Linked DNA regions of Canis lupus familiaris. Each later gene encodes a partner of the first gene's protein in a complex. Links are inferred from orthologs where the notes say so. Each region holds a gene or a part of one and is shown on either strand. Other genes may lie near its edges. The genes, in order: IRGQ and GABARAPL2.

The links.
Region 2: the proteins of IRGQ (region 1) and GABARAPL2 are in contact, whole or in part, in a crystal structure (PDB 8Q6Q), measured with the Homo sapiens proteins. The link is inferred for Canis lupus familiaris from reciprocal best matches to the Homo sapiens genes IRGQ and GABARAPL2. Residues at the interface, in NP_001007562.1 of Homo sapiens: Asp7, Thr9, Leu11, Pro47, Leu49, Phe57, Pro70, Trp71, Glu74, Pro181, Ala182, Gln183, Asp184, Gly185, Phe186, Glu187, Val188, Leu189; in NP_009216.1 of Homo sapiens: Ser10, Glu12, His13, Cys15, Val16, Glu17, Ala19, Lys20, Ile21, Ala23, Lys24, Tyr25, Arg28, Pro30, Lys46, Lys48, Tyr49, Leu50, Val51, Pro52, Phe60, Ile63, Arg67, Phe104.

Annotation. Positions count from the first base shown.
Region 1 is NC_049222.1:112,243,157-112,254,536, reverse strand, and holds the start of IRGQ (immunity-related GTPase family Q protein), read right to left. Parts: upstream 5,527-11,380; 5' UTR 4,940-5,526; intron 4,930-4,939; exon of another isoform or gene 4,790-4,929; intron 4,473-4,789; 5' UTR 4,471-4,472; coding exon 3,941-4,470; intron 2,532-3,940; coding exon 1,163-2,531; 3' UTR 1-1,162. Other genes in the region: ZNF576 (zinc finger protein 576), read left to right, coding at 6,101-6,185, 7,639-7,740, 7,839-8,266. UniProt on the Homo sapiens protein: Autophagy receptor that specifically promotes clearance of misfolded MHC class I molecules by targeting them to the lysosome for degradation.
Region 2 is NC_049226.1:75,812,667-75,824,046, reverse strand, and holds the start of GABARAPL2 (gamma-aminobutyric acid receptor-associated protein-like 2), read left to right. Parts: upstream 1-6,176; 5' UTR 6,177-6,791; coding exon 6,792-6,825; intron 6,826-7,149; coding exon 7,150-7,205; intron 7,206-8,338; coding exon 8,339-8,511; intron 8,512-11,380. Other genes in the region: TMEM231 (transmembrane protein 231), read right to left, coding at 967-1,136, 1,234-1,372. UniProt on the Homo sapiens protein: Ubiquitin-like modifier involved in intra-Golgi traffic. Modulates intra-Golgi transport through coupling between NSF activity and SNAREs activation. It first stimulates the ATPase activity of NSF which in turn stimulates the association with GOSR1.

The DNA.
Region 1 (11,380 bases):
CTGGTTAGGGGATGAGGTTGGGGCCAGACCACATAGGACCCTGCTGTGTGTTGTTGGGCCTAGAGCCTGCCCTCCCTGGGCTTTGCCCTCCCCATCTCTCATAAAAGAGATGCTACTTAATGGCCTTTTGGGTCCCCCTTTCCTGCTTTTTGATACAAGAACTCTGTAACCTGTGGCATCTTTTCTACCTATAGTTGGCAGCCTAGAACATTCCAGGCACTGTGGTTTCTGCCTTTGCTTCACTTACGGCACACTCCCACCGTCTGGAACACTACCTCGCTGTTCTGTGGGTCTCTTGCTCTCCGCAGCCCTGTGTGTACACCAGAGGGCAGAGCCTCTTGGGGACACCTGAGGTAGCCAACACAGAAATATCTGTCAGTGCAGCATTATAGCTGCTTTTCCAAAAAAGGCAGGAGTATAAAATATCAAGGCCAGAAAGGGTTCGGCTTAATGATAGAAGAAATCAAGACCAAAAAGAGATAGAAACCACTAAGGGAAAGAGGGACAAAGGAACAGACACACCAAAGATCCCTTGAATCACTCAGCACTTATAAAAGGGGGGCGGGTAGTCATGTCCCTTTCCAAACTCGCACTGAGAGAGGTGATTGCCAGGGTCCAAATCCATAAGGAATTTGTGGGAGATACCTCTGAGGTATGGGTTCCTGTCCTTCACACCAGAAGGCCTCATTCCTGGTCTCTGGCTACCCCCAGGGCCCACCATGCCCAGACCTCTTGCCTACTTCCCTCGTTTTTCTGGGACCATCCTCCCCACAACAGCTGGGAAAAGAATCTGGCTCACCAGGCCCTCCCCCCCCCACCCCCCAGCAGCAAATAACAGACATCTCTCTATTCCTGATCAAAGGTTCTGCAGCTCTTTTGCACAGTCCCCTGTTCCCTCCTGTAGATGGAGACTTCCCACCACCCAGCAACTGGAATCTTAAAGTCCACCCCAATGAATTCAAAGCCCTCATTCCCTTCAAGCACCCAGCATTCTGAGTGGTGGCCCCCAGCTCCGCTACCTCAGAGGCCCAGACATCCCATGCATCTGGACCCCCCCAATCCCTATCCCTCTAACCAGGACGTGGAGTCCTCAGCCCCTGGGGGAGCCAAGCAGGAGGGACACTGGGCACCCCGGCAGCCCCCCAGACCCGCGTCCCACCCCTCACTGCGCGGGCACATGGGGTGCCAGCACCGCCTCGGCATCGGCCTGCATCTCGCTGAGGGCCTGCAGCAGGACGCCGTGCGCCGCGCGGTAACCCAGGCCGCCGGTGGCCGCCGCGCCGCCCGCGGGCCAGAGGAAGGAAAGGGCCCCCAGCGCCGCGCCCCCCGCAGTGCCCTCGCCCGCCCACGCGCCCAGCCTGGCCTCCACCTCGGCGCGCGTCACCGGGCCCGGGAAGTGCGTCCGCTCCGCCAGCTCCCCCGGGGTCAGGCCGAGCGCGCGCTCGCGTCGAGCCAGCGCGGCGGGTTCGAGCCCCAGCGCCCGCCGCCACTCGGCCAGCTGACCCCGCAGAAGCGCCACGTCGCACGCCCAGCCTAGGCCGGGTACGGGCGCCGCCGCCGCCGCCAGGCTGGCCAGCAGAGCCGGCCGCCACGCCCCGGCCCGCAGCGCCGCCGCCTTCATGCGCGCCCCGTGGGGAGACGCGGGGGGCAGCGCCAGCAGCAGCGCCCCCGCCTGGGCCGGGGGCAGCGCGCGCCGCAGCCACTCGCAGAGCCCCGGGAGGCCGCCAGGCCGCAGCGGGAACACGGGTGGCGGCGCCTCCTCCAGCACCTCCCACGTCTCATCCTCGGGGCTCAGCGCGGCCGCACGCTCCGCGTCCCCACTGCCTGATTTCTTCCCGCCACCGCCAACAGGCGGCACACTCTCGCTGCCCGCTTTCTCCGAGCCTTCCCCGCTGCCTGCTTTCTCGGAATCTTCCTCGCTACCTTTCTGCAATCCCGGGCCACGTTTCTCCCTTCCCTCACTGCGTGCATTCTTCACCCCCTCTCCGCCTGTGTTCTCTAAGCTCTCGCAGCTGGGCTTCTCTTTCTCCGCCTCGTCCTCTTCCTCCAGGTACTCTGGATCTTCGCCCTCACCGTCTGTTCGCACGCCGACCAGCGGCGCATCTGGCAGCACGAAGGGCCGAACCTGAGCCCAGTCCTTCTCAGTGGGGGCCCCCGGGGTGACTAGGATGAGGGCGTCGTAGTGGGTCGGATGGGGGGTGGCGGCAGCAGTGCCCGCGGAGCCCAGAGGTACGTGCCAGAGCACCACATTGGGACGCTCTGGGGCCGGGTGGGGCGTGGGCCCCGCGGGCATGAAAACAGGCTCGGCATCAGGGTCACCGGGATCCAGCCCAAGCAGCACGTTCAGCACAAGGCTCACATCGGCGTTGCCGGCCACGGCCAGGTCCAGCCGCGCGCTGCCCAGTCGCTCCAGGCCAGCGCGAACCCACGACAGCGCCGCCTCCAGGCCACCGGTCTCAAAAGCCTCCCGCACGGCCTCCAGCTCTGCCGCACCCAGTACCTCGAAGCCATCCTGTGCCGGGGGCAGGAGCCTAAGGGGACAGGGAAAGGGAGGGTCAAGAGCAGAAGAGGGTTTAAACGCGGGAGAGCTGCATTATGGGGATGGGACCAGACTAGGATGATATGGGTGGAGTTTTTGAATAACCTCTGAAAGAAGACAGAGGAGCCAGACTCATCATAAAATATATAGGAATTAGGGCTTAAAGCAGGGGGAAGGGGACGCCTGGGTGGCTCAGTGGTTGAGCGTCTGCCTTCAGCTCAGGGCGTGATCCCAGGATGGAGTCCAACATCAGGGCTCCCTGCATGGAGCCTGCTTCTCCCTCGGCTTGTGTCTCTGCCTCTCTGTGTATCTCTCATGAATAAATAAATAAAATCTTTTTAAAAAACAAAAAAATAAAATGGGGGCAGGGGGGCAGGTTGGTTGAGGTCAGGTTTCTGACAAAACCTAAAAAGGGAAACCTGCTAAATCTTCTCTGAGATTCAGTCTTTGGGGGAGGGGGCACTTTCCCAAGGGCCTTGCAGGGTTAAGAAAGGCCAAGCAAAACTCCTGGAAGATGGGGCTCCCGCAAAGACTGACTTGCAACTGTATTGTGGGCTAAAGGAAAGGCAAGCACCTTTGGACCGGAGCAAGGTCACCCAGGGCGCTCTTTGCAGAGACTAGGTTTACTGAGGCGAAGAAGGGCCAGTGAGGGGAAAAGCCTCGCTTATTAGTGCTTACCAAGGAGTGGCTAAGGAAAAAAGATGTGCACTGACCCAGTGGGCCTCATTTGGACTTCTATAAAACAGGTGGCCAGGGATGGGGGGGGGGAGGATTTAGGAGGTAGCCAGCGAGTGGGCATAGAAATGAGATGGGATTGGGATTAAAGAAAGGCAGAGGGGGAGGAAATCCAGAAAGGGCAAGGCTCACTGAGGGTGTGGCTTTACAAGGACTAGTGTAGCTTGAGAACAAAGCTGAAGGTGGAGCAAAGCTGAAGGTGGAGAGGACGAGGAGGGCTCGAAAGTGTGAATCCCTGGGTAACATCTTGGCGGGGATCGCAGGCTTGTGTGCTGAGTAAGCCTTCCTCCAAACTTTTGCCATGGGGGAAGTATTTGGGCATTAGGTCCTCGCCTCTCCTAAAATGCTCAGTGAAGCAGGGCTTGGGACCTGAGAATGCTTGCGGGGGGCAGAACCTGGGAGGACGGGTCAGAACCTCGAGCTGACCTTTTGGTGGGGCGGAGCCTAGAAGACAAGAAAGGCTCCAGCATTGAGTGCTGGCTTGGAGTGGAGCCTCGCTGACCTCAAAACCTGCGCTGAGGGGCAGGACCAGGGCCAGAGAGCAGGGCCCCCAGCAGCTATCCTGTTAAGGCCTGCCCCAAACTCACTGGGGGTGGGGTCTCGCGATCTCAAAGAACATTTTCTGGATGTGAAATGTAAAGCACTAGGCCTCAAGTCCTCGCTCACCTCTGCAGCACCTCCGCCTGGCTCCGCAGCGCCACCCGCAGGCGCTCCAATTCCTTGCAGCCGTCTCGGCGGCCGCAGTCCGCGGGCAGCACGAAGAGAGCAGCGGCCCCCAACCCCGCGCCGTTCAGCAGGGCCGCGGTCTGATCCCGGGCCTGGGCTTCATCTTGTGACTCCCCAGGGCGGAGATTCCGCACAGCCAGCAGCGGGGTCCCTCGGGCCAGGGCGGCCCGCGCTGCCTCTCCCAGCGCTGGGGCCAGGGGCTCCCCGTTCCCCTCGGGGCCGGGCAGCACCAATACCAGCACGTTGGCCTCCGCCGCCCAGGGCCCTGGCGCTGCGGGCGGACAGCTCAGCTCGCCCAGGAAGAGGCCAGGGCCCAATGCTCGCAGGCTGGGGATCCCGGAGTCCGGTCGGCCCTCGGGAATCTCTATGGTCTCCACATTCCCGTCGCACAGCGCTGCGATCAGCGCGGACTTGCCACAGCCCGGAGGCCCCAGGAACAAGGCGGTCACGTCACCCCGTGGCGGTGGCATACCTGGAAGGCAAGGGGGTGGTGCAGACCCGGGTCAGGGAGCACTCGACCTTTTTCTTTCCTGGTCTGCTCACTCTGTCCCCCCTCCATTCTTGCGTGTCACTCCCAGGGAAACATCCGGCACCCACGCCCTGTCTATTCCCCAAGGACCCGGGTGGCTTGTCCGCCCTCTTTCTGGATACATTTAAAAATATATATTTTATTGATTTTAGAGAGAGAGAGAGAGCACAGCCGGGGGGGAGGGGCGGAGGGAGAAGCCCACTCCTCGCTGAGCGGGAGCCTGATGCGGGGCTCCACCCCAGGACCCCGGGGATCATCACCTGAGAGAAGACAGACGCTCAACCGGCTGAGCCGCCCAGGCGCCCCACTCTCTCGGTTTCAAAATCTTAGACATCCGGACCTCCAGGCCCCTCCTCCCTCAGGGACATGGATGTTTTTATTCCCGCACTCCTCCCTTCCAAACCACTAACCGAGCAAAGCGCTGGCAGTCACCGGAGAGCGCGATCCGCGGCGGCGGGTCAGCCGCTGAGAAGCCCCGCCCTTGGGGTCGGGCGGACGGAGGCCGAAGAGGTTAGGGCGCCCCGATTTGGGGCGGAGGGGCGGAGGGGGGGCCGTCCAGACCCGTTCCGAGGGCTCTAACCTGACGTCACTCTTTTAAGGAGGGGGTGTGTCTTGGAAGCGTGACCTCGGGGCTACAGCCCTTGGCGGCGGCTGCGCAGAGCAATCGAAGCGCGCCGGCTCCCCCCTGCTGCTGCCGCGGGGCCCCGAACAATGAGGGAGTCAGAGCGCCTGCGCGCCAGCAGCGCCCGGCCACATTTGCGCAAGAAGCGGAGGTCGGTCCGGCACGGGCGGCCGCGACGTCATCATAACGCATCCCGCTGCGGGGAAGGACCCCTCCCGTTTCTCTGAGGACCCGGCTGGCGCGACTGCATCACTGCCGGATAGTAGCCGGGCTTTCGGCGTCGAGAGGCTCCTCCGGCGAAAGGGCGTGGGAGCCCCTGGGACCTTGAGCCTCGGGGGCCCTACCCCGCTTCCCTCCGGGTGGCGGCGCTGTGACGAGGCGGCCGACTGGCGCCACGAGAGCTGCCCGCTGCTGTCCGGAGAAAAGCCGAGGCCTGGGGCTACCCGGCCTCGGGAGGAGGGAACCGAGGCTGAAGGCGCGCGTGGGAGGCGGGGGCCCGGGGTGGAACGAGGGTCACAGGATGTCAGAGAAAGATGCCTCCCGGGAGGAGGCGGGTTAGACCCGGGGCGCCACTACCTGCCTCAAGACACGTGGGAGAGCTGGTGTCAAGAGATCAAGGGTTCCATGCCCGCACTTCAGGGAGTTAGATGTGGGAGGCCAGAGGTCTCACGCAGGTCAGACGGCTCCACGGGGTATCACAGGCCTGGGGAGTCGGATCTTTTGAGAGGGTCGAAGCTTCCCTGAGGAGAGCTCCACCAGGTTAGAGTTCAAGAGGATGGCCTCTTACGGGGTGGGGTGGGGTGGGGTGGGGGTGGGCGGGAAGCAAGGGGAGCCTGCCGGAGGTCATAGGATTGCGGGCCCCTTCATGCAATGGATACATGAGCGACTTCACTTGATTTACTGTCCTGTCATGCGCGCTGCTCTCTTGACCAGAGGGATCCCAGGCGTTATGGAGGACCCGCATCTCGAAGGGGCCACGGAGCAGCAGGATCCGTCCCAGGAGAGGAGTCCCCGCAGCCCAGGAGGCGACATCTGTGAGTGCTGCTGGCCAGACGGGTGGGGTGCTGGAGCCGATGCTAGCTAGCTAAAAGGATTTCAGTGTCCCAGGCATGTAACAAGCACTCGCCTGCTGCAAAGGGGCTGTAATAAATGGTTTATAAGCTGCCCTACCAGGAACTGCCATTCTCTACCCTTACCTTTATTGTGCTCAGATGTACCCATCCCGCTCTGGCCACGTAAGTTCGAATGTGCTGCAGTTTGGACGGACAGAGTGGCACCCAGAGAGGCTTGGGTGGGAGAAAATGTTGGACACTGAGAGAGGAGACCCGAGGTTCCAGTGCCAACTCTGCCCCAGACTTTGGGTGTGTGACTTGGGCTCGGGTTTCCCTGTCAAAAGAGGTTGCCACTACTCAGGTGACACGGCTGTAAAGGGGATTAGTGGCAGAGATGGGGAAGGTTTGATATCGGGGAGTCTGCTGTTAGCAGAGGTAGCCAGTTTGACATAGGATAGCAACAGCTTCTACTGAATGCTTACTAGGTGTTGGGCGCTTTCTAAGAGTTTAACCTTCATTATCTCAGTCCTCCTGACAGACCCAATGGAATTGGCATTGCTTTCAGATAAGGGAACTGAGGCAAAGAGGTTATCTGGGACAATGAGCTCCAGTGTCAAGGTCCTCCGGCCAAAGACCACCAGGAACACACCTGCATTTGAACAAGTTGGGTTTATCGCTCATTGCACTGAGGAAGCACACACACCCTGAAGCACTGTGGGGCATCTCAGTGTTAGAAAGGACTTATCTTAGGTGATTTGGGAGAAGGTTCAAGGAAGGGTTTTGTTCCAATTAAATGCTGCCAGTAAGTAGGGGCAAAAGATAGGTTGGCTGTGTAAATAAATCTTATCCAGGAGGGGGGGTACAAAGGCTCAAGCTGTGATTGATAAAGCAGCAGCAGCCCCTCCTGTGAGCCAGGATAGGGGGATGTTTGGTCATTTTTGTGGCTTGGACAATGTTCATGTTTTGTCTGTGTTCAGACGTTACTCTGGCATGGTCTTGATGTGATTCATCTCAGTCACAGCATGGCTTTGTCTGACAAGGTTCTGTGAAACTGCTTCTGTTCAACAGGAGAACACCAAGGCCTAGCTGTGAGTGCCAGGCCAGCCCCTGTCAAGCTGCTTTTCTCTTTCTCAATACGAGTAACCACAAACCACTGTGTAGCACTGTTCTAAGCACTTTATATGAAGTAATAACCCATTTACTCCCTCCAACAACCCCATGAGGTAGTTGTAACTGTACTGATCAGTCAACCATACTGATATGGTTATGACCCCATTTTCCAGATGAGGAAACCGTTGTACTTGCCTAGGAAGTGGCAGATCTGGGATTCAGTGCCAAGTAGTCTGGCTCCAGAGGCTGTGCTCTAATCACATGGCTCTGCTGGGAGAGCACACTCCCTGGGTTCCATTCCTGACTCCACCATTTCATTTCCTAGCAAGTTGCCTAACCTTTCAGAGCCTCAGTCTGCTCATCCATAAAACGTCCTGTAATAGTTTGCCTGTGCCACTGTCCAGCCCTGACGTACAGCTGGCATATAGTAAGCACTGAATGTAAATTGTTGGCAAGACCCTGGGGCTTGGGAGAGGTCCTGGTGACTCTTGCTGGCTTCCCCCGACCTCTCCCCACGTCCCTCAGGCCACCTGGGGGCCCCGCAGTGCACCCGCTGCCTCATCACCTTCGCCGATTCCAAGTTCCAGGAGCGTCACATGAAGCGGGAGCACCCAGCTGATTTCGTGGCCCAGAAGCTGCAGGGGGCCCTCTTCATCTGCTTCACCTGCGCCCGCTCCTTCCCCTCCTCCAAGGCCCTGCTCGCCCATCAGCGCAGCCACGGTCCAGCAGCCAGGCCCTCCACGCCAGTTGCACCCACCGCTGCCCACCCTACATTCCCCTGCCCTGACTGTGGCAAGACCTTTGGGCAGGCTGCTTCTCTGAGGCGGCACCGCCAGGCGCATGAGACCCGTGTCCCTCCAGGCCCCTTTGCCTGCACTGAGTGTGGTCAGGACTTTGCCCAGGAAGCTGGGCTGCATCAACACTACATCCGGCATGCCCGGGGGGAACTCTGAGTGAGGGTTACACCCTCCCTAGGGCAATGGGTGTGTGTGTGGGGGGGATGGGTTCTGTGGCTGCTAGAACCCACCTCTGATAAGGGATGGGCGCCTTGGAAGGATGTGCTTCCCTCCCTGGACAGGCAAAGGACTCCTGATAAATAGGACCCAGAAGATGCTCATCTCCAGATTCAGTCTTTGGAGGACACAAAGGCCTTCAGGGATATAGCGAAATTAGTGAAATCTTTTAAGAGAAATGAACAAGCAAAAGGGAAAATTGTTATTTGTATCTCCCTTGTTTCCAATTAAATAGTTTGAAATCACAACTAGCTGCAGATTGTGTAATCACCTTTAATTCTTCCCAGATGGATGCCATGAGCTGTAGGAGCAAATTCCCCCTGGTTTTGTGCCTGAAGGGGGACAGGGAGGGTGAGGTGTGGCGGGGCTGTAATGTCCCTGGAAGGGTCTCAGATGTGGGGAAACTTGGGCCTTTGGGGTGCGGTAGCAAAGTTGGGGGCTGTCTGAGTCATGTGGGGGTTGCAATTCAAGTCCCTGTCTTCTCCCATTCCCTGTCACAGTCTTTCCCACTCACTGAGGGGCCTTGGTATTTGGATTTGGGCTCCTTCCCCAGTAATCTATTGCCCGCTTAATTTCATGTACCATTCTAGTCATGGAATATTTTCTAGATGTTTAGGTGAGATGACATGAATAAAATAGCAAATAGTATCTAAAAACAGAAAAGATCTGTATTAAAATGTCTAAACCAGAAACTCTGGCTTTTGAGCAGGAATTGCCAGAAAATATAAGAAGGGCATAGTGAGGGGGCTCAGTTGGTTAAATGTGGGACTCTTGATTCTGGTTCAGGTCATGACCTCAGGGTCATGAGATCCAGCCTGGTTTCGGGCTCTGCTGAGCAGGGAGCCTGCTTGATTCTCAATACCCACACCCCCGCCCCCTTTCATCCCCCACACGCATGTGCACACGCACGCTTTCGCAAAATAAATAAAAAGAAGGGCACTGGGAGGGGGGAGCTCAGGTCAGAGCTGGCCTGGCCCTGTGGGGAATCTGGTTTGAAATCAAACAGGGATACCTTCTGTTTCCTGTTGTATTTGGCCAACACTGGGAGAGTTCCCATTAAGATCCTATTTTCAGCTCTTGAAACCCCTAACCCTGGGCTGGGTCCCACCAGGCCAGTACTGAGTGTGGTCAGGACTCTGGATTACCTGCCCTGCCCCCCTTAGAGACCCCGGTTGATGCCCTGCATACAATAATTACAGACACTATCTGAACTGAGGGATGTTTTTAAAGCCCATAGCTGAGGTAAATTTGGTAGAGGATAGCTGTTTCCCAATTTTTACCTAGGTACATGGTAGCTACTAGCACTCCATTTCCCAGGGTTCCTTGCAGCTAGGTGTGGCACGGTGACGGAGTTCTGGCTAAATCCTGGGTAGAGTTCTCAAGCTTCAGAAAGGGACACGCCTTTTCCTCCACCTTCCTGCCTGGAGTGTGGACATGGTATCCAGCCATCTTGGACCATGAGAGCAATATATGGGATGCCAGAGCCGCAAGACAGCAGAAGCCTGGGTCCCTTGTTGACTACATGGAGCAGAGTCGTCATACCAGCCCTAGAATATCCACTTCCATACGATCATATAAGAGAGAAATAAACCTCAATCTTGTTTAAATCACCATTATTTTGGGTCTCTGTCACATGCAGCATAATTTACAGCCTGTCGGTAGCACAGAACGGCAGATTTGAGTAGTTAGTTGCAATGGAGACCGTATGGCCCATAAAGCCTAAAATAGTAAAGGGCCATCTGGTCCTCTATAGTAAGTTTGCTGACCTCTTGCCTGATGGACATACAACCTACTCTGAGCCCGGAAGCCGGGATTCCCACCCTGGGAAATACTACCTCTAGTAGGGGGCTGTGTGTGTGTCCTGTAGGATCTGGACAGGGCCAGCCAGCCTGGAGCTCTGCTGGGGTGACTTTTGGGGAAATTGGTGGTTTGGAGTCAGTCGGCCATTACTCTATCCTAAAATACCGACTTCACCAAAGCCAAACATTTCCTCTGCACCTGGTGATAGCTCAGAAGTCTCCAACCCAGATGTTTCACACCACCCCCACAGCGGTTCCCTCAAACCCAAACCTGAGGCACTAATCACACATGCTCCCCTGAGACAGACAGCAGCCTGCCTGTGTTCTTCCTCTTCTCTCCACTCTCCAGATGTCATAGATTCCCAAGACTTTAAATAGCATCCTGGTGACTTCCAAATCTTTATGTTCAGCTCAAACCCCAGACTTCTCCCCAGGAGAAGAAAGTCACTTGGATGATGAATAAAAGTCCCCAAAACATAAAAAGGGTCAGTGTGACTCCTACAGCCCCCACCTACACCACTACCATCAGATCGGTCAACTGTGTACTCAACTTCTAAATTCTGGAGTCTGACAGGCCCTCCCCACAGGGATCTCCTAAGTGTTCCCCCCACCCCCACCCCAGACCTGCGACCACAGCTGCCCTCTCCGGTCCACTACAGACCACATCCAGTGTACGTTAAGTCAGCACACACAACTCCTCATTTAAAATCCTCCAATGGCATCCTGTAAAAAACATCCAAAGACCTTACCCAGGCCCAGAAAACCCAACAATGATGGAGCCCCACCCCACTAAGCAATCTCAACTACCTCCCTACTTTATCTTCACTATACTCTAGTCACACATGCCAGGCTGGCTTCTACCTCAGGGCCTTTGCACTTGCTCTTCCCCCTGCCTCGAGTGCTCTTACCCAGAACTTGCTACTTAGTAATCAATACATGCTACATCCTCGGAGAGGTTCTCCTTGACCTGCTTGGCTAAAGTAGCACCACCAACCCTTACCCTGACTTTGTTTCTTCCTAGCACTCTTCAATACTTGAGATTATCCCGCTTTTGTCATTATCTCTGTCCTTGCTCTGGAATCCAAACTCTTGGGGGCAAGTGTTTTGTCTTCCTCACTTCCTCAGTACCTAAGATAGTGTTGATCTCAGAGGCTCAAAAAATGCTTGACTATGCCTACTGTCTACCTAGAGGCTCTCGACCTGCAGCCCTCCCTGTGATGCTGTGATGCTGGGCTTTCTGCAATTAGGTTTCCCA
Region 2 (11,380 bases), on another chromosome or scaffold:
TTGGTGACTGAGTGTCTGCCTTTGGCTCAGGTCATGATCCCAGGGTCCTGGGATCGAGTGGGCACTGGGCTCCCTGCAGGCAGCCTGCTTCTTCCTCTGCCTGTGTCTCTGCCTCTCTCTGTGTCTCTCATGAATAAATAAAATCTTAAAAAAATTTTTTTTCACTTAATTACTAAAAAAAGTCTGAATTTTTTTTCAGCTACACAAGTTGGCTTGTAGATCAATCATTTCTGAGATATGCAAAGAGATTCAGCTTTGGAAGAAGAAAAAGTAGAATTTTCATACTTCTAGAGGAAAATGTTTTCAGAAATGAGCAGAAAGGTAATGATTGCAAAGGAAGTACTCACTCATCCTGAACCAAATTCTAAATTAAAGACAGTAAAACGCCTCCTTTTCATCCTGGACAACTGCAAGATGAGCAGCATCTAATTCTACAAGCTCAGAGAGGCGGGACTGGGATCCAAGCACATTCTGGGTAGATCGATGAACCAATCAGCGCCTCTTCCACGTGTTAGGTCTGCATAAAAATGCCTGTCCAACCAGCCGCTGCTCCGATGCACAACTGCACCGAAAAATTGGGGTAATTAATAAGAACACCACTCGGCCTTCGTGACTCCTGAAGAAAGTTTCGCGACCACGCATTCATCAGGCCAGGCCCACGGAAATGAAGAGGGCCAGAGACAGGCTATCCCCAGGCTTCTGTGGGACACATGGTGACAGCAGGGGCTAACATTCTTGGGGGCTGTGGACGGCTTGGGGAAGTCGAGTGAAACAAGAGAGTCACTTCCCGGGAATGAAATCCACGCCCAAGCCCACGCGTCTCTGTACACAACCTCCGTGGGTTCAGGGACCCCTAACACCCACGCTGGGCTTCCCACGGCCGGAGCTGGTCGCCCTCTCCCCGCTCCCCCGTCCCCCCCCGCCCAGTCCCGGGGGCCCTCTAGGCCCCGGGCGGGAACCACGCACCGAAACCAGCGGGACGCGCAGGTGACCCCCCTGCAGCCGGTTGAAGGCGGGGAAGGTGCTCCAGGCGAGGAACCCGCCTCGCTCGGGTCCCAGTAAGGCCACGAACAGCACCTGGTGCTGGAAGCGCACGGTCGGCTGCTCCTCGTAACTGCTCCGCTTCAGCCACAACCCTGCGGTGGAGAGGGCGGTGGACAGCAGGTCAGGAAGGCGGGCGCGGGCGCAGCCGGCCGCGGGGAGCTGTGCGCGCAGCGGCCGCGAGCAGCTCACCGTGGCTCCGGAAGGCCACCAGCAGGGGCGGGATGTACGTGAGCGCGGCGGCCAGCAGCAGGAACAGCGCGGCCTTGGAGCAGAGCCCCGCGCGGTAGCCGCGCTCCACCGGGTGGGAGAAGAGCTCGTAGAGCGCCATGACCGCCTCGCGGATTCCGGCCGCTCGCCGGGGAGCCCTGCGCGGTTCGCGAGGGAGGACCAAGTTTGGCTTCTCCTGGTTGCCATAGCTCGGTCTCCACGGCAACCGACGGCGCAGGGACGGGAACCAATAGCAAGGACGCGGGGCCCCGGCGGGGGTGGGGCTAAGCGGGGACGGCGCCGGCCGGCGGGCGTTCGTCCTCGCTCGACGCGTGCCGCGCAGTTTTCCAAAGGCCAAGTGGGCGCGCGGCGTGTTCAGGGCCCAGAATCGTAGCCGTTTCCGGTGGTAACGATTGTGGGAAAGAAGGTTTTTCAGAAAAGTGGGCTTAAAGTCGTTACCGGCTCGCGTGTCCTCCGTTAATCCGCACTGTGGTTCACACCTGAATCCGGCCAGTCACAGCACACCTTCCGTCGCAGGAAAACGCAAAAGAGGAACGTGGCTGTGCTCCTGGACGTGGCGCTGGAAGGCCAGGCCGGCTCCCTGCGGCTCCGAACTTTGTTGCTTTCTCTCTACTCCACAGCAGGATGGCGCAGACACGGGACACAACTCTCCCAGCTCTTCCAGGGGTAAAGGGTAATTACTACGTGGCTCTCTCTGCTGAATTTCCTTAGCTTATCCTGGGGACAAGCTTGGCCACCGGTTTTAGGGGAAGCTGTGCCACCCCCCCCCCCAAAGATGATAGTGGCTTATCACTTAATTGAATGCTTTCACCTCTAACCAGTATTTTGAACATGGCAGAAGGAATTTTTTTTTTTTTTTTTTTTGTACCCTGGTCAACAGCCAAGTTCTTCAGGAGGCCCTAAAAGGATCACAATGCAGCGCCAAAAGGTAGTGTGAGGTTTGTGGTCAGAGCGGAATCCAGCAGGCCATGCCTCTATTTTGAAGGCAACCTAGAAATAGCTTTTAGATAATGCAGCTGAGATCCTAACTACATAGATGCTTGAGGGGGCCAAGAGCTGATCCTTCGGAAAAACTATCCAGGGTCCTCACCGCGGTTCAATCGACAATATGAGCCATAAGATTTTTTTTTAATTAAAGATTTTATTTATTTATTTGAGAAACAGAGGCAGAGACACAGGCAGAGGGAGAAGCAGGCTCCATGCCGGAAGGCCGACGTGGGACTCGATCCCGGGTCTCCAGGATCATGCCCAGGGCTGAAGGCAGCGCTAAACCACTGGGCCACCAGGGCTGCCCCAGCCATAAGATTTTGACAGATCTGGTTCAGTACTACTCATCTTTGCTTTAAAGCTTCCCTAGGGTGGCAACACAGCTCTTAAATATAGCAATTGTTAGGCTTAAATCTATATTATGATTCTGACGTTATACTGTATCAATGATTTAAGTGAATGACTTTCATTTATTCAAGTAACAAAACCATATAATTTAATTCATATGTGGGACTTCAGAAAACAAATGAACAAAGGGAAAAAAAGAGACAAACCAGAAAACAGACTATATTATTATATAGAACAAACCGATGGTTACCAGAAGGCAGGTAGATGGGAGGATCGGTGAAATAGGTGAAGGGCAATGGGGGGCTGACACCAAACACTTATATAAGAGAGCGCTTATCTTGATGAGCCCTGAGTAATATATGGAATTGTTGGATCACTATGTTGTATGCCTGAAACTAATACACCACTGTATGTTAACTACACTGAACTAAAAATTTAAGAATAACCATTAAAATAAGATTCTGGAATCGATGGTTCTAGTGTTACCTCCTGAGTGCAGCTCTACACCAAGGAAAGAGGCATTTGCCTTCAAAGTTCCTTCTTTCAGTAGAAGGAAACACATACTGTGGCTAGTGTCAGCTTAGTCACTGCTGAGAACAAGGTGGTGATTCCTAAGAATTTAGGTGTGTGAAGTGCCTCCCCTGAGATGCCATGAGCTTTGCAAAAGTATTTAATAATAATGGATACTAATACTTACTCTTTGCTTCCATTATTTGAAGAAGCTAATCTTTGTGGTCTTATTTTGATTCTTTAAGAGGGAATTTTATTTTTATTTTTATTTTTTATTTTTTTTTGGAATTTTAGTTTTTAAAAATGCTAAAGGTCTGTGTATATTGTGTCATTGTCATATATTCATAACTGAGAACTGACTTCTCTGTTTCCATTTCCATAATTTTTTCATGTTTCATAAAATTTACTTTTTAAAAAAGATTTATTTATTTTAGAGAGAAGGAGAGCACGTGAGTGGCGGGGAGAGGCAGAGAGGGGGAAATAAGCAGACTCCCCTGCTAAGTGCGGAGCCTGACCCCAGGATGCTGAGCTCATGACCTGAGCCGGAACCGAGAGTCAGACACTATACCTACTGAGCCTCTTAGGTGCACCTTCATAGAATTTACTTTTAAGGACAAAGAGAGTTGTTCTCTTAAAACTACACATTTTGATCACGTTCTACTCCTTTCTAAAAGCTCCCATTCAGGGTATCTCGAATCAGTTCAGAACGCCTGAATGTTCACATCAAGGCTTTCCAGCATTTGTCTATATTGCTTCCCAGTTCCCTCTTCTAACCCCAGTCTTTGTGTCTATTAAGCGAAGTTTGTCCTTTGAAAAATGTACACTTCTCTCTGACACATAAGATTCACATTCTCTGTTTAGTCTTTTTTGATAAGCCTCGCTTGGTTTGGTGTCAGCCCCCATTGCCCTAACCATCCTTCAGCATTCAAGTGCAGGACCTCTCCAACATCTGAAATTTATTCTGCATATTTTATAAGTCTGTTAATATATAACTGCATACTTTAATTATCCTATTTTTTCTTCTGAGTCATCTTTTCAACTAGCCACCCCCTCAAGGAAGGCATTCGGTATCTTTAGAACATTCAATAAGCTAGTATAATGACCCCATAGGTAAAGAAGGTGATGCATATCATCAGGGCAGATCAGAGAATCCAATTAGAATGGTGAACTGGAAAAAGACATCAAAGAAGTAAGTAAAGATAGAAGACAGAAAAACACTGCACCTTACGAAGACCATCAGGTTACACTCCTGTAAGGGGTGACTTATGGGATCTTTCCACTTTGATTCCTCAGTGTTTAATTCTATTTGCAAAATAGGTATTTTCAGTTTTTTCATTCACTCTCTAGCTGATCTCATCAGTTCAATAGCTTTAAATACTTCTCTCTTGAATTTGAGACTCATAGATCTATTCACTTACTCCATATATCTTCATTTGGATGTGTCCCTTGGGCATCTCAGACTCAATAGAGCCAAAACCAAACCTTGATCCCCACCTCCCCAACTGGCTCCACTCTATTTCAGTAAATGGCAATTCCATCCTTCTAAAAACTCTGACTTTGACTTGTCCCTCACACTTCATATTCAATCTATCATCAAATTTTGTTGGTTGGCTCTACCTTCAAAATATATCTAGAATATAATTGCTTCCCACCATCCCCACAGACATTATCTTGGTCTAGGCCAACATCATCTTCCACTTGGATTATCACAATAGCTTCCTAATTGTTTTCCTGACTTCCATTCTCAAACCCTTAGAGTCTGTCTACAAAAAAGCTAGCCTGCTCAGTTCAAAAGGAAAGCCATACCATGTCACACCTCTGCTTAAAATCCTCTACTTCTCATTTCATTCTAAATAACATCCAAAGTTCTTCACATGAAATTCAAAACTCAACAGCTGGGCAGCCCGGGTGGCTCAGCGGTTTAATACTGCCTTCAGCCCAGGGCCTGATCCTGGAGACCTGGGATCGAGTCCCACGTCGGGCTCCCTGTGTGGAGCCTGCGACTCCCTCTGCCTGTGTTTCTGCCTCTCTCTCTCTCTGTCTCTCATGAATAAATAAATAATCTTAAAAAAAAAAAAAACTCAACAGCTTTGTTACACATATCTTTGATCTCATCTTCTAACATACCCCCCCTTGCTAATTCAGCTCCAGCCACAAGGGGTTCCTTCCTGTCCCTGATTATGCCAACCACTTTACCTGATTAGCATTACCCCACTGTCACTCGTCACCAACCCTGCTTTATTTTCTAAACAGCGCCTACCATTACCTGACATTTGTTGTCTTATCCCACTAGAAACTCCTTGACAGCTGAATGTTCTGTTCACTGCTTTTCCTCAACACCTAGAACAGTGCTCCTGTATGCAGCAGTAATAATTTCTAGGTATGAAATTCAAAGGGCTTTTCACTTCATTAAAAACAAGCAAGCAAACAAAAGCCTATTTTGGTTGCTCAGACAATCTTAAAATAACCAAAATGCTTCTAGAATGAAGCTAGATTCCACAGCATCCATCAGGAATTACAACTATGGGAAATGGTGAACGACAATATTCACACATGCAATCCTTTCAGATGCATCAGAATCATAAGCACATGACAAGGATCATGTGCCCAATTAAATGAATATTCTTGTTACATATTCACCAGCTAGTAAACAGATGTTGACCCAGAGCAGACTGTCCTGATGACTCTGCTAGGAAGAAAGAGGTGACATCACTGGAGAACTCAAGGCATATGCTCAGGCAGGTGACACACGTACGCACAGCCTAGACTGTGATTGCTGAACTCCATGCTGACTGCCAAAGAAATTTGTCTCATGACTCTCAGGGGAATTCTCTCAGCCAGACAGTCACCTCTAAGTCCTCTGTAGTTAAGGTTAAGGGGTCTCTTTGTGATCAGTGAGATGTTATGCTCCTCAAATGTCTATTTGTGATACATGTGCTTACATGTTTAGTCAAACGTTTATTTATTCATGAAAAAAGGAAGGAAATAGGGTTTTGTTTAAATTCCATTTCTAGGTCCAAGGCCACCTGTTTTGGCTGTCTCCAATACTGAACCCCCGGCTTGTCATCAGAACCTCTCCCCACACAGGCCCCTCAAATTAGCCACACCCTCCAACCTGTTACCACTCCAAACAATACTCCCCAAACTGTCAATGCGCTAAACAGATCTCCCCCACCCCGCCATTATCGACCATCAGAGACCCCTCGTCTGTCACTCATGCTCCAAAATTCCCGACACCGAGACTTCCCTCATGAAAAGCCCTCTGAGCGCCCTATCCTATCAGCCAGACCCCCAAACTCCTCTTCCCGTTACCAACGTCCGCCGAGACCCGGTTCCTGTTAGCAGTTCCCGACAGCATCCCCTTCCCCGTCACCGAAACCCCTCCAGGACTGCCGGGTGGCCAACGTCATCAGCCCCACTTCCTCGTAGCCTCGCCTCGCCCCGCCCCGCCTCGCCGCTCGCCCCGCCCCTTTGAATGTGGCCACGCCCCCTGGCGCGGCGTCCCGGCGAACTGCGCCGGAAGCCCCGCCCCCGGCCGGTTGCTAGGCTCCGGCAGCCGGAAGTCCCGCCTGCCGTGTAGTCGCCGCCGCCGCTGCTGCCGTCGTTGTTGTTGTGGTTGGTTCGCTGAGCTCCGCGGCTCCGAGAGCCGGCTGCATCCCTTCCCCGCCGTCGCCATGAAGTGGATGTTCAAGGAGGACCACTCGCTGGGTAAGGCTCCGTCAGAGGCCGGGTGGTGGGGGTCGCGGCGGCGGGTGGGCCCCCTCCCCCACTCGGGCCGCCCTGGGCTGGGCCGGGCGGGGCGGATGCCGAGCTGTGGCCTCGGGTCGCGGAGGCCCCGGCGCCCCCGCCGGCTGCCCACGGACGCTGTGCCGCCTTCTGCCCTCCTGCCGGGAGGCGGGGGCCGAGGACCGAGGCCGCCGAGACGCCGTAACAAGGACCCGGGCGTGCGCAGGTCGCTGGGGGAGGTGGGTCGGGGGCGCGGGAAGCGGCGGACGAGCAGGCGCGACCGGCAGCCCCGTCTGTTTCCCACAGAACACAGATGCGTGGAATCCGCGAAGATCCGAGCGAAATACCCCGACCGCGTTCCGGTGAGTGCACTCCCCGCCCCCTCACCTCGTCGTCACCCCGTCGTCTAGGACTCGCGATAGGGCCCCGGGCCACTCAGCAGTTGATAAGTTGAGGTTCCAGTCCCAGTTATAGGAGCAGACAAGCCAGACGGGGCTCGGGGCCTTGGGGGCCGTGGCGTGAGGGGCTTGAGCAGGTGCTGTTCAGGGTGCCTCAGTGCTGAATCTCCCGATCTAGGCCAGCGAGCTGTCTGCAGCCTCTGGGCTCCCTCGCCAATTATGTAAGGAACGATGTTCTAGGACAGGGCAACAGGTCACTGCCACTTTTGGGAACACTGGTGGAGGGAGACTGTCACTTTGGTCTTAGAAGTGGTACTTTAGTCTCAGGACACTCATCTTTAACTTTGAGCCTCTGTCTTTACTTGATTTCTAGCTCCCTTTCCTCACTCTGACCCTGTCATCCTTTGCTGACCAAAAAAAATCTGAGAAGCCTCTGAGAACTCCCTTCTTTCGTGGTTCCTCCTTAATCAGTAATAAAGATCCTGTTTCTTCCGTGGTAGGGGTAAAGTTTCTATAATTCTTACTGATTTTTAGAGGACATCCGTGTCTGTTATTGTAGCTCTTTGTTTGAACAAGCAAAACTCTGAGGAGGGGTTAGGAGGGACACATTTGAAACCTAGTTCAGGGAGAAGCAACAGGCCAAATGAGGAGCTTGGTTTACTCATTCCCATTAGTCCATCCATTCCTCTCCCCTTTGTTCCTTGGGATCTTACTTCCTCTGTAGTGTGAAGGCAGATTCATTCTGGAGTCTTGGAGTAACTGGCTGTAGATGAAACCAGGTATCTCAGGTCTGCCCAGACAAAATGTCGAAGAGCTTTGTAGTAAGGGCGTGTGTTTCTCTTATGCTCGCTGAGATGCAGGATGATAAACATAATTGACCACAGAAAAGCACTTTCTGTTTCCATATCATACATTTATGTCAGTTCTTAACCTCCAGAGTTAAGAGTTTGTGGTTTATTAAATCAGGGGCATATTTTCCAGTGTTGTGCAGTTTCCCACCCACCTCCTTGCCCACATAGTATTCATCAGCTCCCTGGCAATGCAAGGCCAGAGCCTCACTTTAGAAACCCAGTCCTGATCTCTCTTTGCTTTCCCAGGTGATTGTGGAAAAAGTCTCAGGCTCTCAGATTGTCGACATTGACAAACGGAAGTATTTGGTTCCATCTGACATCACTGTGGCTCAGTTCATGTGGATCATCAGGAAAAGGATCCAGCTTCCTTCTGAAAAGGCAATCTTCCTGTTTGTGGATAAGACAGTCCCACAGTCCAGGTGAGAAGTGTTTACTAGCATTGGCCACCTGCTTGGCTGCTTACAGAACTCTAAACTTTGGAGGTGAGAAAACTCTTAGAGGTCCTGACTGGAAATCTGGATGTTGTGCTCCCTGACATGAGGAGCTCAAGGAAAATAAGAAAGGGCTACAGTATCTGGGAATATACTTTGGGTTAAGAAAATAGAACAAGGTTGGACTTAAAAAAAAAAAAAAATCTAGCCTCAGACCCTGATGAATACTTTAAAACAGTTCAGGATTTACTTAGGCTTAAGCCATCACTAGAACCTAAATGAGCCTAAAATTAGGTTTTCTTTAAATGACCCATGAAATAAGTCCTGTCGTTCTCCACTAGGGGCTTGTGGGCCCTGCTGAGGCTCAGCTTCAGTTAATCATCCTCCTGCTTGCTCTCCAAACTTAGTTCTGTGCCACTGCGAGTGTGTAGCTGTCTGATCCTCAGGTATGCTGGAATGGCTGCTGTCCAGCAAAAGGCTCTGAGGTCTCTTTACAGACTTACACCCCCCCTCGTAGCACCTGCTCCGACTGTCAGAGTAACCGCCCCCCTTGCTCTAGCTGTTGTGCTGCCTAGAAGCATTCTTTGGCATAACTTGGGGCCCGAGTCTTCTGGGGCATTATAATTCTCTTCTTCTGTGTAGTTGACAGCCCAGCTTTAGTCCCTGGTGGAAAAAAGAAAATGGACTGGCTCCTTCAAAATTCCTGGTCAGTCCTTTGCCATTACTGGTTGAGTATTAGCCCTTGAGCCAGATGCTAGTCCCTCTCCCCCGAGTGTGAGTTCCTGGCTACATCTCATCTTGGAGACTCCAAGTAAGTCTCATTGGTTACTCCCCTAAAGGTAGTACTTCTGCAAGCTTAGGCTTTCAGAATCCCTGGAACTATCCCAGTTTGGCCAAAATATGTTCCCTTTGAAAATCCTTGAAAGCTCCAGAAAAGACCTAAGCCAAAATCTAGTCCCTTTCCTATGACAGATAGCTCTGGCTATTTTTTTATCTGATTTACTTTCCTAATCTCCACCACCTCCATTTCCTGTGTTTGGCAGAGAGGTTGGGGAAAAATGAAAGGTTCTTCAGTAAGGTCAGTGTCCAGCCTGAGGAGATCCGCCTGGCCTGCCTGCTAGGTGCTGTTGGTCTCCTATAGCTGTTGTTCAGGAAGCTGTGGTGTTGGCAGAGGCGGTCTTGACACCTGGTGGGGCTCTTCCAGCCTTCCTTCCCCGACCTCCAGGCAGCATGGTGCTGGGTTCATCAGGTTAGGAAGCCCTGGGCATCTGTAGTCGTAACTCAGCTTCTCTTAAGGTGGTGGAGAGGTGAATCTTCAGTCATCACACTGCTGATCACTTGACAGCAGCACACACAGAACTGCCACAGGGTCTCCTGCTAACTCCATCTCCTGCAGCTTCTGCAGAGTCTGGGTAACTCTGTGTTTCCTCCTTCCTGGCAGTGGCTTCTTAGGGAAGGAAGCAGGTGTCTAAGACCTGTGGCTTTGAATTTATTTGATCAATTCTTCTGATTTTTCTTTTCCTTTTCCTTTTTTTTTTTTTTTTTTAAGATTTTATTGATTTATTTATGAGAGACACAGAGAAGGCGGAGACATAGGCAGAGGGAGGAGCAGGCTCCTCGCAGGGAGCCCGATGTGGGACTCCATCCCGGAACTCTGGGATCATGGCCTCAGCCGAAGGCAGACGCTCAACCACTGAGCCACCTAGGCATCCCACTTTTGATGTTTCTTAAAGGAGATGTGCAGGCTTCTGGAGACACTGTTACTCTGATGGCCTCATGTTAATCTAGCAATTAAAATGGCTGCAGATTAGCAACTGCCCCCTCCCTCCATTATCCCTGAGATATAAATAGAATTGGAAATCAAAAGTAATTCTCAGGGCAGCAGAGGCTGCTTCCTTTTCTCTCCCAGTCCCATTTGCCTTTCCAGCCTGGTAAGAATCTGCCCTAAAGCAGATGACACCAGTGACCCCTGTCAGGATTTTAGAGAATCGCTAACCAGGCTTCCTCTGCCCGGGCCTTTGGCCCCAGTTAATGACTTTCTGTCCCCACACTTAATACAGCGATTTGGTTTTTTTAAGAAAATTTGTTTCTAAACAAAAGTGGTATATGACATCACTGGGCCTTATGCAAATACTGATCACTTGACAGCAGCACACACGGAACTGCCACAGGGTCTCCTGCTAAAGCTAATGTGTGACTCAGTCCTGCCATCTCCTCCCCAAGGCACGTTAACAGCAGCCTCTTCCTCAGCTCCTTCCAGCCTCCTTAGGAAGTGCGGGGCCTCAACCTTCCACCAGTGCTTGCAGCCTTCAGAAAGTGGCTGGGGAAATCAGAGTTGGAACGGATGAGTCCAGGCCTAAGGAGGCTTCTCCCATCCTATGACAGATTTGCGTGAGGATCACTTGAGAGGTGGGAGGTGGAGCTGAAGTAACTTCAGTTATTCTTGCCTTGCAGTGGGACTTTCGGAGTATTCTGGAACACAAGCGATCATGTAAAATGTGGTTATTGTTTAGACTAGTGAGTATTAAATACTGATTCTAGAAATAGAGACCAAGGCAAGTCCCGGAGTTTTACTTCCTAAATTCTGAGTTCTGTTTTTGTTTTTAAAGCAGGGCAGAGGGGGTAGGATCTCAACTCCCCTTTCCCATTTAGCATTGGAAAGTTGAATTCTCAGCCTAGGATCCTGCATCCAGAATCAGGCCAAAAACAAAAGAATTGTCCCTTGGTGCAGACAGAACTCAAGAAAAAAATACCAGTGTACAGACTTCCAGTCATGGCAGTAGCAGGGAACCCAGACCTGGCCGTGGTACCTACCTTTTGATCTTTGTTTAGAACACAGAAGAATCTTGTTAATCCC